Lytechinus pictus: one gene and its partner. The protein of the gene in region 1 purifies or fractionates together with the protein of each later gene. This does not show direct contact. Links are inferred from orthologs where the notes say so. Each region holds a gene or a part of one and is shown on either strand. Other genes may lie near its edges.

Region 1 (7,608 bases):
TGAGATAATCTGTCGAGATTTGCTGAACCATTAAATCAGGTAAACATGAGATAAAAATCGTTTCTCTTGGGACTCATTTGGGCAGCCACTGAAGTGATTTTAAAACATGAGCCACGCGAGCAATTGCCTTGGGTGGTGATGGACATTTCATTGATTTTTTTTTTTAATCAGCGACTTTACAAATAAAAAATAATAATACATATTCTAATAACTTTTTAAATCTTTGATGGATTTTCCTCAAACTTTCACCAATATTTATCTTTTTTTTCTCCTATCTGTACAATAAACTTTTTGTCAGGGTGAACTCCCCCTTTAATGATTGGTCACTTGGAAATGAAACCTACGTATCATGAACGTGTTTTCAGTTGGGAAAATTTGGAAATTGCAAAATCACTTATCGTTTATTTCTACCATGTTTATTTTTTAAAGAAAATTGAGACTTCGAAAAAGTGTTTTTGACCATTTTCATCATTTTGCAATTAAAATTCCCTTTAGAAAGATGTTGCAAAGTCTTAGGGATATTTCTGATCTGTACGATGCAGGATCTAGGGGCGGGGGAGTTTTTTTTTGTATGGTAGTTTTTATTTGACAACTTCAGTTCATATACAAAATAAAATACATATAAGAAATAGAAGTTTGATGTCTTTACAAATTGATAAATACCTTGACAACTCATAAATTTAACACCATTTTTCCCCTTTAGTGTTACAATAAAACACAATGTCAGCTCTTCCAATACATAATTATAAATAACATTGATGATGATTATAATATGCATTAAGAATAAAAACTAATTCTACAATAAATTCAACATATTTATTTTTTCCAGTGTCAAATATCAACATGAAAAAGAGATTTTCCAAATACACATTGGCATGACATATCGATTAGAAATACCTAAAAAATCTATTTTTAGATATTTCTAATCGATGTGTCGATCATGCGGTCTCATGCCCCCCCCCCCCCCGCCACTAGATTATTAATCAATAGAAGAAACTGTACACACATGTAAAAAACAATACAATAAATTATAGTCTGTTTTAGATGAAAGAATGAAAAATAAACGTTAAAAACAAGCAATTAGCCGTCAAACAAATAACATTAACTTTACATCTCGCTCCCGCGCCCGGGATCTTGTTTTTCTCCTTTGACAAATTCATGCACACACGTGTCGCCCTAAGCCCCATTTCCAGCAAGCTAGCCAACACTCATTGTGAGTAACTTGTGACATGACAGCAGATGACATGAGAAATTGAGAATGAACGTTAAGAATATTACTTAGAAAGTAATTAGCGGGAAAATTATGAGGAACAATTCATTTTATGATAAAAATTTCTTGAAAACTATCAGAAAACGGTATCATGTAAAAATGAAAGGCTACGTCGGACCCAGGTCGCACCGCGGACAATTCAGTTCTAACATACATTGTAGCATGCATGTCCGGCTCAGCTAGGCGCGCTGGCAACGCTAGTGTGGCTGCTCAGGCTTGGCTGGCTGGCTCGCCGGCCGGCTGGAAGTGGAAATGCGCCAGTTTCTACGCATGGATATTTTCCGGTCATCAATAATAACATCGTAGTTTGTCTGTTGCCGAAATGATTCTGAAACATCCTTTACTTTTGAGGATTGATGATGAATGATGCAACAATTATTTCCGATGACTTTTCCCCACTTTTTATGATTTTTTAAAATTTTTTTTAATTTATTTTTTTGCCTGTGTCGCTCGCGTTTTGCACGTGACGCATATAGAGCTTGTGGAATTTACGTGTGTCGCATGCGACGCGTGTGTTCTACACTGGCGAGAACGTTGGTAGCAACATCTTCACATTTTCTGGTAGCCAAGTGGTTTATCTATCAATGTGACATGTTTCCATGGCAGCTCACAGAGGCTCAAACAGTCTAGGTCAGCATAAAGACTTAAAAATGCCAATTTTCAGCCACTAGCCCACACAGCTTATAGCCTAGGCTAAACTAATATGGGGATGGGCCAAAATGCATTTCCAGACACATTTTATAGGGCATTTAACTATTAAGCCTTATTTTTCACTATGTAGGAAATTTTATGGTAAGTTTTGAGCAATGTCTTTGACAATGATGCTAATAGGTAATGCTTTTTTAGTAGAAATGCCATTTTGTTTTTTTCGTTGTCCTACCTAACCATATTATTTTCTGAACTTAGTCTTAGATTATGTTAGAAGCTAGTCCCTAGTTTATTCTTTTTATTCAAATGAACTGTTGTTGGACAAATTCAGGGCCGGGTATGTGCAGTTACACATAATTACACTGATTATGTTGCTATGTCTTTGAACAGGCTTGGCTATTTTTTTTTCTTCCAATCAATGACAATGGTGAATCATAATGGATCACAATTTGTTTTGACAAAAAATGAAAAATACTAATTTACAATCATTATCAAAATTGGGCATGTTGGGTAGCATTTTGAAGATTGAACATGGTCATGCGAGTTCAGAAACAAAGTCTTACGTCCAAACTTCTGCCTTGCTTTAAATATTTGGCTAAAAAAAGAGAATAAAAACAAAACAAAACAAAAACACCCGTTCCCCAAGGCAAGACAAGTCCACGACGCGTATTCGCCACATTCAGGCTCTAGTCTACTCTTGAAGTTGAACTCCGCCGCTGCGCCGGCGGTGGAACTTCGACTTTTGCCATGCCCCCACATGGCCCAGCGCGGCGGCCACCCACGGGCACGGGAATGCCGTCATGGCCGTTCCCGTCGCTACTACTGGTCCATTAATTCATCACCTCATAAAATCTGTGTCGGCTGTAATGGTTGCTCCTGGTGTTACTAATCGTTGAGGTTCTGTAAATTCATCACAAACTCGTCTTTCACGAGGAGCGGTGATGGATATTGCCATTTTCCTTCCCAACTTTCGTGCACAAATAGGTCAAACGTACTGGCCTAACTAACTGAGCTAGTCAACTGAACATGCAGACAATTTTAATATGACAGCAGCAAATTGGTATCTTTCAATCGCGAATAGGAGTCATTTCGTCTGAAGTGTGGATGTCAAGTCAAAACTATTCAAATTTATTGTCAATCATGCTCAAGTAAAATAAGTGAAATAAATCAACAGAAATGTCAATGCGATTCCATAAATTTCAGTTAGGTTTTAAGTAAATTTTATCTCGCTGTGAAGATTTCAAATGGATTTCCCCCCTATTTTGATTGATTAATGCTTGCCAAAGTCTCTTTGGGCCAAAGAACAGGGGAGAACAGTATATATGAGTCGTGCTACACTATTATTGCAGCACTTCTGTAAATTTAGTTGGTATGGTATAATGTATATCATTAGGCTTCTATTACCAAATTGACACATAATAAGCGATAATCACAATAGGTTTGACCAAATTCACCTTCATTCTTACAAAAAAAACCACGTTAATTCTTTAAGCCTGTCAGTCACTCTAAAAACAAGTTAATTGTTGAAACTTTTTAACAAAACTTGTTTAGAAAGTTTAAACAGTGGTTGTTAGAGTGACGGGCTTAAACAAAGTGCTTTCAATTTTAAACAGCGTTTTTTTACAGTCATTTTGTTTCTTGTTTTGTTTTTTGCTTGTCAATTTTTTCTTAATATAGAAGCAGAACCCCTCTTATAGAAAATCGGTCCCAGCCCAGGCCCCTCTCCCCTTTAATGTTTTATTTAGCTATACGTCCATTATTCATCAATTGAGAAATTTGAGGGGCGTCGCACCTATACTGCTTGACTTCATTTTTAAGTTTTTTTTATTTGTTTTGCTTTCATAATCTATTTGTTTATTAGTTTGATTCAATTGACTTATTCGAAAATATGAAAGACCGAATGAATTAACTTCTTGAATGAAAACAAAAATGAATTATCTCTTTGCTTATGCACTAGGGGTGGTGGAGCAAAGTTATAGGGGGCACAGGGGAAAAAGGCACCTTTTCTTTTCTCTTAAAACAAATAAAAATGATTCATCTACAGCCTAATGGGGCAACATTTTTGAGGGGGCTAGATATATCACGTTAATTTATAAGAAGCTGCGATTTTTCCATTATATTCAGCAAATAACACATTTCATTGCTTCCATTCATTTCATAATACGTTGTATCATATCATTTCTTTTATTTCCTATTGGGTGTGGACCCAAGACCCCCCCCCCCCTCCGTCCCCGGGCCTGTATACGCCCCCTGCCCCCGCCTGTTACGCCACTGCCACTCACATAGCTTAAGGCACGTAGGATTATCCTTACAAGTTTTGTATATAAACATATACATATAAACAAAAATTAGAATAGTTTTCTTGTTTCAAAGGGGCAATCGATCGTTAACTAAAATCCATCTCATGTGAAAGGGGCAGTACAGAACATGTTTGTGTGCATGGGGCACTGATACGAGATAGGGCACTTACAAGAAGGCATTTCTAGGGCCGGGCACTTAATTGCTCACACATAAAACGGGCCATATAGTCAAGGGACATAAGCAAGGGCACTTTCTCGCACATAAAACGGGTCTTTCTATTAAGGTGAAAGGATCACAGAACACGTTCAAGGGGGTGCATTTTTGCTTTAAAAAATTGATTGGCACTTATACGAGAAAGGGCACTGCACCTAAAACGGGTCCTCCTCAGGTGAAAGGGGCACAGAACACGTTCGTGAGGGGGCATTTTCGTGCGTAAAAAGGACACTTTCAGTGCTTCAAAAAGTGGGGGGGGGGGGGGTACACGTGCCCCCCACACCCCCAGGATCGCCGCCCCTGTTATGCATGATTATATCACCTAGTGAAGTTTTAGATATGACAATATATAAACTGGAAAAAACGATAATGTTTTGCAAGGCTTTTGTTTCCATTTAAAATTAAATTTCTGGAGGATTTTGGAGAAAGGCATTTGTATTATTATTTTTATTTACTAGGGGCAGCGCTGCTGCATGCATATATGTTCAAGTTGACCCCTAAATCCAAACTCCTCATGAGTAGGCCTGCTACTACTATTGAAAAATGAAATAAAGCCATCTTGATCTTATCCTTTATTTTCAAAAGTGAATTGATTTATTTTATTCCCGGCCCCCGTTGCTTTTAATTGTGTGGTACTTGATATTAGTATATAATTATCTCTGTTGATTGCATAGAGATATATACTAATAACGTAATTAGTATACATCTCTATGGTTGATTGGTAAGTTTGGTATCATCATGGACCTACTAGCTAGTAGGTCCATGGTATCATACAGTACTTGACTTGTAAACGTTATTGCGCAATGATGAGCTACATACAGCTCTATATTAATCGATAACTTTAGTTGTATACCGGTACCTTTCGAGTTTACTGAGACTGGAGTCCGTTTAATGAATGTCACTCATCAAACACATACTATTAAAACATAAATGGCCTTGACAATTTGTAATAGACCTACTGTGTTCAATAGGTTCAGTAGGACGACGCGGATGAAGAAAAATAGGAATTGCACTTGGAGTATCTTTCGAAATTTACATCAAAATCAGCGAAAGGGTAAGTAACGCGCAACGCCAACGGCCTACTGCCGCGGCTGCTGCCCGCCGCGTCCCCGGCCCCGATTGTGCTCGCCCGCTCTCTGAGCGCGAGCTTACTCGGCAAGCTCGCGCCGAATTATTGCTTAGCGCCTCGCCTTCGGCTGGTGCGTTTGCGGACAAAAGCGTGGGCCCGGTGAACGTTCAATCAATTTCAATCCAATCCAAAATGATTTTATTTTCTGAATCTTTAAAACATACGAATTCATATTTGATATGCAGATAAGGGAAACAAAGTAAAAAAAAAAATGAAGCAGAAACAAAACAAACTGAAAACATAGACAAAGGGCAAGGTGCAAAAGAGTAACTATTGCTGTTCCCCTTTTCAGTCGGTCTACTCTAGTATGGCAGTGTATCCTATTACCGGACACCTTTATTTCAGTGCTTTAAAAATGACAACTAGAGGAAATACAATCAAGAAATTTTCACACTTGCTATTCCAAATATTATGAAAATTATGAATATGATAAAATTATTTTATATTTACCAACCATTTTCTTTGCATCGCACTTGCCGCATACCCCTCCACGAAAAACAATTATTTTCATGCGCGACAAATTACATCATGATTCCGGACGCGCGCCGGACGGGCAAAGATATCCTTGATTCTAATGATGTAAGAACAAATTTTTTTGATTTTTTTCTTCTTATATCATATCATGAGTAAATTCTAAGTATTATTTGCTTTTTTTTATATCGAATCTGAGCAGATGTTGGTAATAAATTCGTGTTTGATAACTTATTTTATTTTGTCTTGTTAGCTGCATGTTCCATGGCACTTTCCAATAATAATATGCTCGCGTTCGTATCGTGACGCTCATCAAGTTCTATCGATGCGCTGCCGATCGACGGCTCTAATCACGGTAAACCTCGCGCACGGGTACCTTGAGAACTAGCCGTCGACGGTCACCCACAATACACCACACCTCATCATTCGATCGAAGGAGTGGACGAGATTGAAATTCGGCAAATCAAATCAAATCGGCAAAATTTCATCATCGGATGTAAAATAAGAAAGTCCACCTCAAAAAAAAAATGTTGATTTAAATTTTAAATCAATAGAGGAAAATCAGATTTATCATAATGCTGGAAATTTCATCACAATTTTGCACAATTAATTTAGTCACATGCAAATGAAAGAATCAATGTTGTCCCTCGCTATTTCTTTTGTTTTTTATTGTTTGAATTATACGATATTTCAATTTTTACAGATTTGACAATAAGGACCAACTTGACTAAACAATAAAATGTTAAACAATGGTAATTCCCCATGTTCAGTGAGGAATAAAACTTTGTTTCGCAGGACAATGAGGAGAAAATAGGAATATTTTTGTTATTTCGTATAAGAAAATACAAAAGAAATAGTGAGTGACAGATGTCATTGGTTCCCTCATTTGGATACCAACCAGATGTGCATATAACTTTTTTGTGAAATTAAGCAAAACTTTAAAATGTCATGACTTTCGTATTTTACATCAGATTTTGATGAAATTTTCAGTGTTACGCTTGTTAGATTTTTCTCTTTTTATTCAAATCAATTCTTTGTTGGGGTGGAATTGTCTTTAATATTTTGAAGTCTTGCTTAATTTCACAAAATAGTTATATGCATATCATGGTCGGTATGCAAATGAGATGACCTATGATGTCATCCACTCACTATTTCTTTTGTATTTTTTATTATCTGAAATATTCTAATTTTCTCATTATTTTCCAATGAAACAAAGTGGCATTCATCCCTGCACATATATGCACATTTCATTTAAAAAAAATCCTTTTATGGTTCAGTCAAGTTGGCCCTTATTGTCAAATCTGTAGAAATTGAAATATTGTATAGAATTAAATTCAAACAAAAAATAAAAGAAATAGTTATAGTGAGTGAGGTACATCATTGTCTCATTCATTTGCATATCACCGAGTTGTGCATAGATAAAACTGTTTTGTGAAAAATAAGCAAAAATTTAAAATGTCATAACTTTCGTATTTTACATCCGATTTTGATGATATTTTCAGTATTGTACTTTTTTTATTTTTCTCTATTTTTCAAATCAACTTTTTTCTAGGGTGGACTTGACCTTTAAGTTTTG
Region 2 (7,457 bases), on another chromosome or scaffold:
TTTGTCTCTATTATCAACATCATTGGTGAGTAGGACAATCTTGATCTTAGTGTCTTTGAAGTGATTATCATACCAAGTAAGGCTCTTCCGTATTGCTCTATCGTTGAAGTCATTAGGAGATTCCTTTGGTTCGATCTCAATATATGTCTCTCTGAGGAAAAGAAAATAATGATAAAGGATGAGTTGTGATCTCCAAACTGGCGCTCCAGGGAGCATTTCATGAAACTAATACATGAAGCCAGCAATTTCCACTGAAAATGTTATAAGCTACTGAAATCCTTGCATCTGATTGGCTCTGCATAGTCTGTCAGTGAAATCATTCAAAAGAAGCTCCATGAAACACTATACTGGACTGGTCATGTTTAATAAAGCTTGTTATCGATGGCAACTTGCCACTACAATAAGCTAAAGCAATCTCGCCAAGTTAATTAAATGGCTAAGAAGATATTCATTACTAATTTATGGTATTTCATTTTGGTAACAAGTTTCATGATAGCTAGTCCCTAATGCCCACTAAGTAAAAACATGGGCAGCCAGGCCTGTGGGCAACAGAAAATTTTATAATACCAGTGTTGTAATACTTCTGCCTGATCATAACCTGGCAAAAACAACTTGACCTGATTTATTTCAAAGCCATGTTATGCCACTGCCTTGACCTTCTTTAATAATAAAAATACATGTGCTACATGTATACACTTATCAAGCACACTATCGTGCAGAGGAGGTACATGGCATAAGCCTATCGATAAACCTTTCTCTTTAATAAGAGTAAGGAAAATGTTTACTTAGGATACCAAAATGATGATAAATATAATACTTGTATCCAGCATTATAGTCACATGGAAAAATTCTGTATTACGGTATGGGCATTTATCTCTCTGACTTTGAAAATATTTTAAAAACATAATGTTAATTGTAAGATCCACAACATTGACCATAAATGATGATAAATCAAAGTGAAGTCATATCCTCACCTGTGGTGTTCATTTGTGAATACATAGAACTTTTTTTTGTCATTTGCAATGAGATCTCGTATCCTTTTGTACGATGGCAAACTTCTGTGTTTGACCTGAAAATAGAAAGTGACATTTTATTTAGTATTAAGACTGGCGCATTTTATCACAATTAATGTGATTAAAAAGCAGTCTTGAATTGAACAGAAAACTCATTTATCTCCCAGTGACAAGATGAACTACCAATACAACAGTGTAAGACAAAACCTAATAAAATAGGCATCTAAAAATCAATGCGATTTCAGAAAGCACTTTCAGATATTTAGCTATAAAAAGCTTCTTACAAATGAGAACTTATTTTTTTACACTTATGTAAGATTTAGTGGCATCACTACCCTAAATTCTCATCTTTGCAGTCCCTTTATCACAATATACCATCTTGAAAACACCTTCACCACAAGTCTTCTTTTTATATAATTAATACACACATAATTTAATCAATAAATTTGTATTTAGCCCATACCTCATTCTGAACTGTCTGCAGGAGAATGACATTTTTAATTGCTTTGTCCTCCAGTATATCCACCTGTGAAAGATAGAAAAAATACCCTTGAGAAATGTGCATGTATAGATACAAATGTGATGTGGGAGTTGTACTTCTGGGCCCTGTCTTACAAAGAGTTATGATTGATCCAATCAACCACAACTATGGAAAGCCAGCAACGTCAACATCTAAAATACATGTTTGTTCAAAATTCCAGATATGATGCATATTCATACATTCACTGTTTTCTTGACAATTCAATATGCTTCTCATTCTATTCAAAGGACATTGTGCAAATTTCCTAAAGAAAAAATTATGACATTGATGAATCATACTCTTTGTATCACCCACCCACCCTTCTTCGATCGCCGTCAGCACAGCTACAGCTGAGCATATGAATGAGCTGTAGCTGACGGCGATCAAAGAAGAACCTGGCTGATCCAAATATGTTTGTCATCAAAATTTGCTATTTTCCAGCATATTTTTCAGAAAGGTGGTAAGCTGATTGTATTTTATATCAATTCATCTTAATTATTTCTTCCTTTTCCCCCATCATAAAGCAAAATTTATGAGTAATAGAGCCTAGAGGGTGCAAAAGTGTACCCTGGCCTTAGTTTCTCCAGACGCTGTACTGTAAGTGTAATTAAGCGGAGGTTGTTTGCTCCACCATTACGAACCTAGCTAATCATGCAAATGGCCGTCATCCGTCTTTGTAGTGTAGGACCAAAAAATCTGAAAATATTGAAAAACTACTCCAAAACAGCAGATTTATCAGTCTTCGTCAGACCATACGGCATTATCCACCACTCCATTCACTGCCGTTTATTTTGTCATGTTCATCAGTGGCGGCGACTTTTTTCATCTCCCATTGACTTTACTAAACAACGAGCGCACACACACACTGATACACACGAGAAGAAAGGTGACTTATTTCAGGATAAGGACGACCACATTTTAAATTTGATTGCAACTTTTGCGAGCAAGCCAAGAATAAATCATGTGACCACTCCACTGTCCACTCACCAGTGTTTTTTTTTTTTTTTTACTTTTCTTTTGCTAGGCCCTAGTATTAAATCTTTGATGTTCCAACCATGCCAACTAATTGAGCAGCCATTAATTGCCCACAATCATGAAATCCTATTCTTTTCAAGAGGACAGCTCACCTGATGCAAAACTACATTTGTATCAAGAAGGAGATAATGAGGATAGCGGCACAACGTGTTTGCCACTTCGGGCACGGGCTCCTTCTCCAAGACCGGCTTATCCATTGAGCATTTGGAACAAACAGCGGATCCACACCAAATATCGTCCCTCAGATAGTGCTCCCTCACAACCTTCATCACTCCTCCTTTCCGAGTCTTCTTCACAAAACTCCTGGAAGTCAGCATGGTTGACTTACTGACCTTATTCAAAGATCACAAAAACCTAAAACGTTGAAGAAAAACTTAATTTCATGAATGATCTTCTCCGTCGGCACAAGACATTTGCACGCGAGACCATTATGTTTACCATTTGATATGGTGTCTTCGATCACGATCAAAATGAAAAATTGGGGCAACCGTAGCGTAGGGGAAGGCGGGGTAAGTTGAGCATAGGGGCAAGTTGAGCCACCACCTCCCAGAAGCGGATCTAAAGGGGGGGTTGCAACCCCCCCCCCCCCAAAAAAAAAAAAAAAAAAAAAATCCGGGGACCATTTTTTTAAATCTTATCTTTTTTTTTTAACTTGTAATTCCATTTTCACACACAGATTTTCAAAAATTTTCCCTACTGTGGGAGGGGGGACACCCCCTCCCACACCCTCCCCCCTCGCTCGCTCCGCTCGCTTGGACTCGGTCGCTACGCTCCCTCGCATACCACCCCAACCCCCCCCTTTATAAAAAGCTGGATCCGCCCCTGACCTCCAGGCCAATAATAGATGAGTCAGACATTGTGGTGGTGTCATGTATTGATAACCATTACATAACTCTTAACCCCACCACATTGTTTTCAACTTTGAAACAAAAAGTACTTTTTTAGAGGGAAAAATACAAATTTCAGCCAAAAAAGTAAAAAATGGTGTGAAATAGATCACTGCTTTTTACCCACACACGTCTTTAAGTACAACTGTATAATAAAGAAATAAGAACAAGATTGTTAGTCCAGGTATGGATTCTCATTCTTGTCATAGTCTTTTACATGATGGATGCATAAGAAATGTGTGGATGTGAAAATATCGCATTAAGTTCCGACTGGGGTAATTTCAGCCAGCCAAAATGGGGCAAGTTGAGCAATGGTAATTCGTATGGTAATGTATAATCAAATGATTAAACAAAAACCTTAAAAAGCCATTGATATGCAGGCAGAAAGGAGCAAATTCACATGACAGTTCTTTTACTTTTAGAGGATGTTAGTATTTATAGATATAGCAAGTGAAAAGACTTTAAATAATAAATTGACGTGCGGGTTCGCATACAATTTGTACATAGTTTTTGTGGCTCAACTTACCCCAGAAGGTGGCACAACTTACCCCACAGATGGGAAAAGTTGAGCCATTTGACATCGTTTTTTTCAAAGGTCAGAGTGTCTTTTAGTGTGGGGGTAGAGAGTTATATATAGGTGAAAAATATTTCCAAATAATCAAATTAAAAGGCATGCAAGGTACTTATTTCTACAATATCATTAGTCATATCAGATCTAACATGCAAAATGCAAAAAGTGTCACAACTTACCCCGCCTTCCCCTACGTACCGATCAAAGCTGCGAATCGTCTGGAAATCGAGCATTAAAATGAGCAAATGTGCCGGGGGCAGGCGTGGATTAAGCCGGGGAGGGGGCACAGGGGGCACGTGCCCCCTCCCTTTGAGAAGCAAAAATTAAAATTTGTAATGTAAAAATGCCATTAAAACATAGGTGTGCCCCTATATTCCTTAAAGGACAAGTCCACTCCAACAAAAATTGATTTGAATAAAAAGAGAAAAATCCAACAAGTAAAACACTGAAAATTTCATCAAAATTGGATTTAAAATAAGAAAGTTATGACATTTTAAGTTTCGCTTAATTTCACAAAATATTTATATACACATCCTGTTTGGTATGCAAATGAGGAGACTGATGACGTCATCCACTCACTATTTCTTTTGTATTGTATTATATGAAATATGAAACATTCTAATTTTCTCCTCATTGTCCAGTGAAACAACACTCTAAAAACAAATCAGTCAAAAATGACTGGTTAATTGGGTCAGCTGGGTGCAACTGTTATTCTAGTCATATTTGACTATTTTCTAGTCATATTTTACTAGAATAGAGTTATTTCTGACTAGAATATATGTCAGAAATGTGACTATCAGTGATTGCCATATCAGTTGCTCCCAGCTGACTACTGGTCTAGTCAATTTGACTGATCGGTTTTAAGAGTGAATGATTAATTCCTCCATGAACATGTGGAATTAGCATTGTTTAATACTATATTATTCAGTCAGGTCGGTCCCTATGGTCAAATCTGTAAAAAATGAAATATTGTATAATTCAAACAATAAAAAACAAAAGAAATAGTGAGTGATGGACATCATCGACTGACTCATTCGCATGTCACTGAGTTGTGCATATCACTGTTTTGTGAAAAATAAGCGAAACTTTAAAATGCCATAACTTTCTTATTTTACATCTGATTTTGATGAAATTTTCAGTGTTATGCTAGTTTGATTTTCTCTATTTATTCAAATCAACATTTTGCTGGGGTGGACTTGACCTTTGATTGAATATCTTTTTTTTTTGCTTCTCAATTTTTTTTCTGGTACGAAATACCCTTAATTTGTTGCTGAAAACCTTTTTTTGGGGCTCGTCAAATTTTTTCGGGTACAAAATATCCTTTAATCCTTTATTTTAATCCGAAAAAAATTGCCCCCCCCCCCATTGGAAAATTCTGGATCCGCCCCTTAGGGATAGGGGAAGCAAGGGGGAAGGGGCAGGCTGCCCCCCCCCCCCCGGTGGATTTCACCGGGAAAGCGAAAAAACGGGAAAATAGAAAAGGGAGGAGAAAGAAAGGGCACATAGTAAAGGGAAAGGAATTAAAGGGAGAAAAGAGGAAAGAGGAAAAGGCAAAGGGTAAAAGTGAAAAGAAAACTAAGAAGAAAGAAAAATGGGAAACGGAAGGAAAGCGGGAAAAGGAACGAAAGAAGAAGATGTGAGAAAGAATAAACCATTCTGAAATAGCATGATACATGATTGAGAAAGGGATATGAATTAAAACATAGGCGGATCTAGGGGGGCCCGAGGGGCCCGGGCTCCCCCCCCCCCCCTATTGGCGGAGCAAAAAAAAGAAAAAAATGAAAAAAAGAAAAAAAGAAAGAAAAAAGAAGAAAAAAGGAAAAGAGCGGAGAAAAAAGAAGAAGAGGAAGACGGGTGAATTAAAAAATATTGAAATGAGGGGAAAACTTGGAAAAATAAAAAGAATCTTTCATGTCACTATACAAAATTTTCGCTGGCGCATCGCGCTCGCATTGCCTGTTAGGTGATTTACATAACTAACTTGTTCAATATTGAGCTTAAATACCAAGTTTGGAAGTCAATATACAAAACATATTTCACCTCGGAAATCGAACTTTCATTATTTTGTGTGATTTACAAATTGATTTTTATAAAGTGCTATGTAAAAATGTCAGTTATTTGAATATTAAAATTTTCTGCTCGCGCTGTGCGCTCGCAAATTTTGATTTATCAGGTACTTATTATTTTCGTGAATTCCATTAAGTTTTTCAAAATATCCCTTTTCAGGTCTGATTGTCAAAACGTATCAGCTAGCGCTGCATGCTTGCATTTTGATTGGCGATTTATGTTTGTGTCAATATTGATTACACAACAAACTACTTAAAATCTCCTTTTCATGACAGTTTATCAAAAATTTTGGCTCGCGATTTGCACTCGCATTAATTCCGCACCCACATTATGCATTTATAAATAAGATATCAATTTAATAATTAAATTGTCCCTTTTGTTTCATCTCGCGCTTAGCAAGAGGAATAGAAAAATAGTCATCATTTTCAAATGATGACATGTCCTAAGGATTTCCCAGTCCTTTGTCAAAACTAAAAAAAATAATAATGATGAAAAGTATCAGCCCTTTATTAAGTGCGATCCATATCCACCTCACAATTTTTCTACAAAGTGCTTGCCTATAGAGCTGAAAATGACCCTTTTTTAAGATCGGAATATCAAATATTTTATGCTCGCGCTTCGCGCTCGCTTTGATTTTCATGATAAAAGATGTATTTAGAATGCCTAGATTCTTGGATTAAATCTGAAACACGCGCGTGCATCTGCTCGCGCTTTGTGCTCGCATTATTAATGTAGGAAGATCCCCTATTAGTCACCCTTTTCATGATTTACAAAACATGAACAGAGTGTACCATTTTTAGGTCTAAATCTCGAATTTTTCCGCTCGCATCAATAATTGTTTAGTTATATGACAGTTTATCAAAAATTTTGGCTCGCGATTTGCACTCGCATTAATTCCGCACCCACATTATGCATTTATAAATAAGATATCAATTTAATAATTAAATAGAACTGTTGATTTCCATGCCCAAAATCCAACAGCCATTTGGCTATGCCCGCTTTGTGATATGATGAACTTTGCTAGCTCATTTTTTTACTCTTCACTTGACTCTAATAAATCTACAGAATCTATATTGAACTTAAGTGGGTCTAACTCCTTTGAAAGTCTTACGTCCCTTAATGAGGGCACCGAGGACGTTGAACTACGTTATGACCACTGGAATAAAGTAAATCATCAAGCCCAATTCGTACCAGTTCAGGACTAGGCCCCCTAAATGATTCTAAAGTCGGAGTTGGACGCCGTGAGAAAGACCTAAGAGTAACTCCACTGAAACTTACAAGAACCAGCAACAGTTGGACGATTGTTGGAAAAAATGGAAAAAGTAACATTCCAACTGATAGAACTTCACCAACAAATAGACTTT

Evidence for each region. The genes of interacting proteins can lie anywhere in the genome.
Region 2: the proteins of exosome complex component RRP4-like (region 1) and exosome complex exonuclease RRP44-like purify together in Drosophila melanogaster (affinity purification with western blotting; 3 studies listed by BioGRID, with this or other methods). This does not show direct contact. The link is inferred for Lytechinus pictus from reciprocal best matches to the Drosophila melanogaster genes Rrp4 and Dis3.

What each region holds. Positions count from the first base shown.
Region 1 is NC_087259.1:10,557,115-10,564,722, forward strand, and holds the start of exosome complex component RRP4-like, read right to left. Parts: upstream 3,014-7,608; 5' UTR 2,874-3,013; coding exon 2,761-2,873; intron 1-2,760. Other genes in the region: ubiquinone biosynthesis protein COQ4 homolog, mitochondrial-like, read left to right, coding at 5,363-5,486.
Region 2 is NC_087249.1:53,877,119-53,884,575, forward strand, and holds the start of exosome complex exonuclease RRP44-like, read right to left. Parts: upstream 3,023-7,457; 5' UTR 2,886-3,022; coding exon 2,661-2,885; intron 1,540-2,660; coding exon 1,477-1,539; intron 1,070-1,476; coding exon 975-1,069; intron 152-974; coding exon 1-151.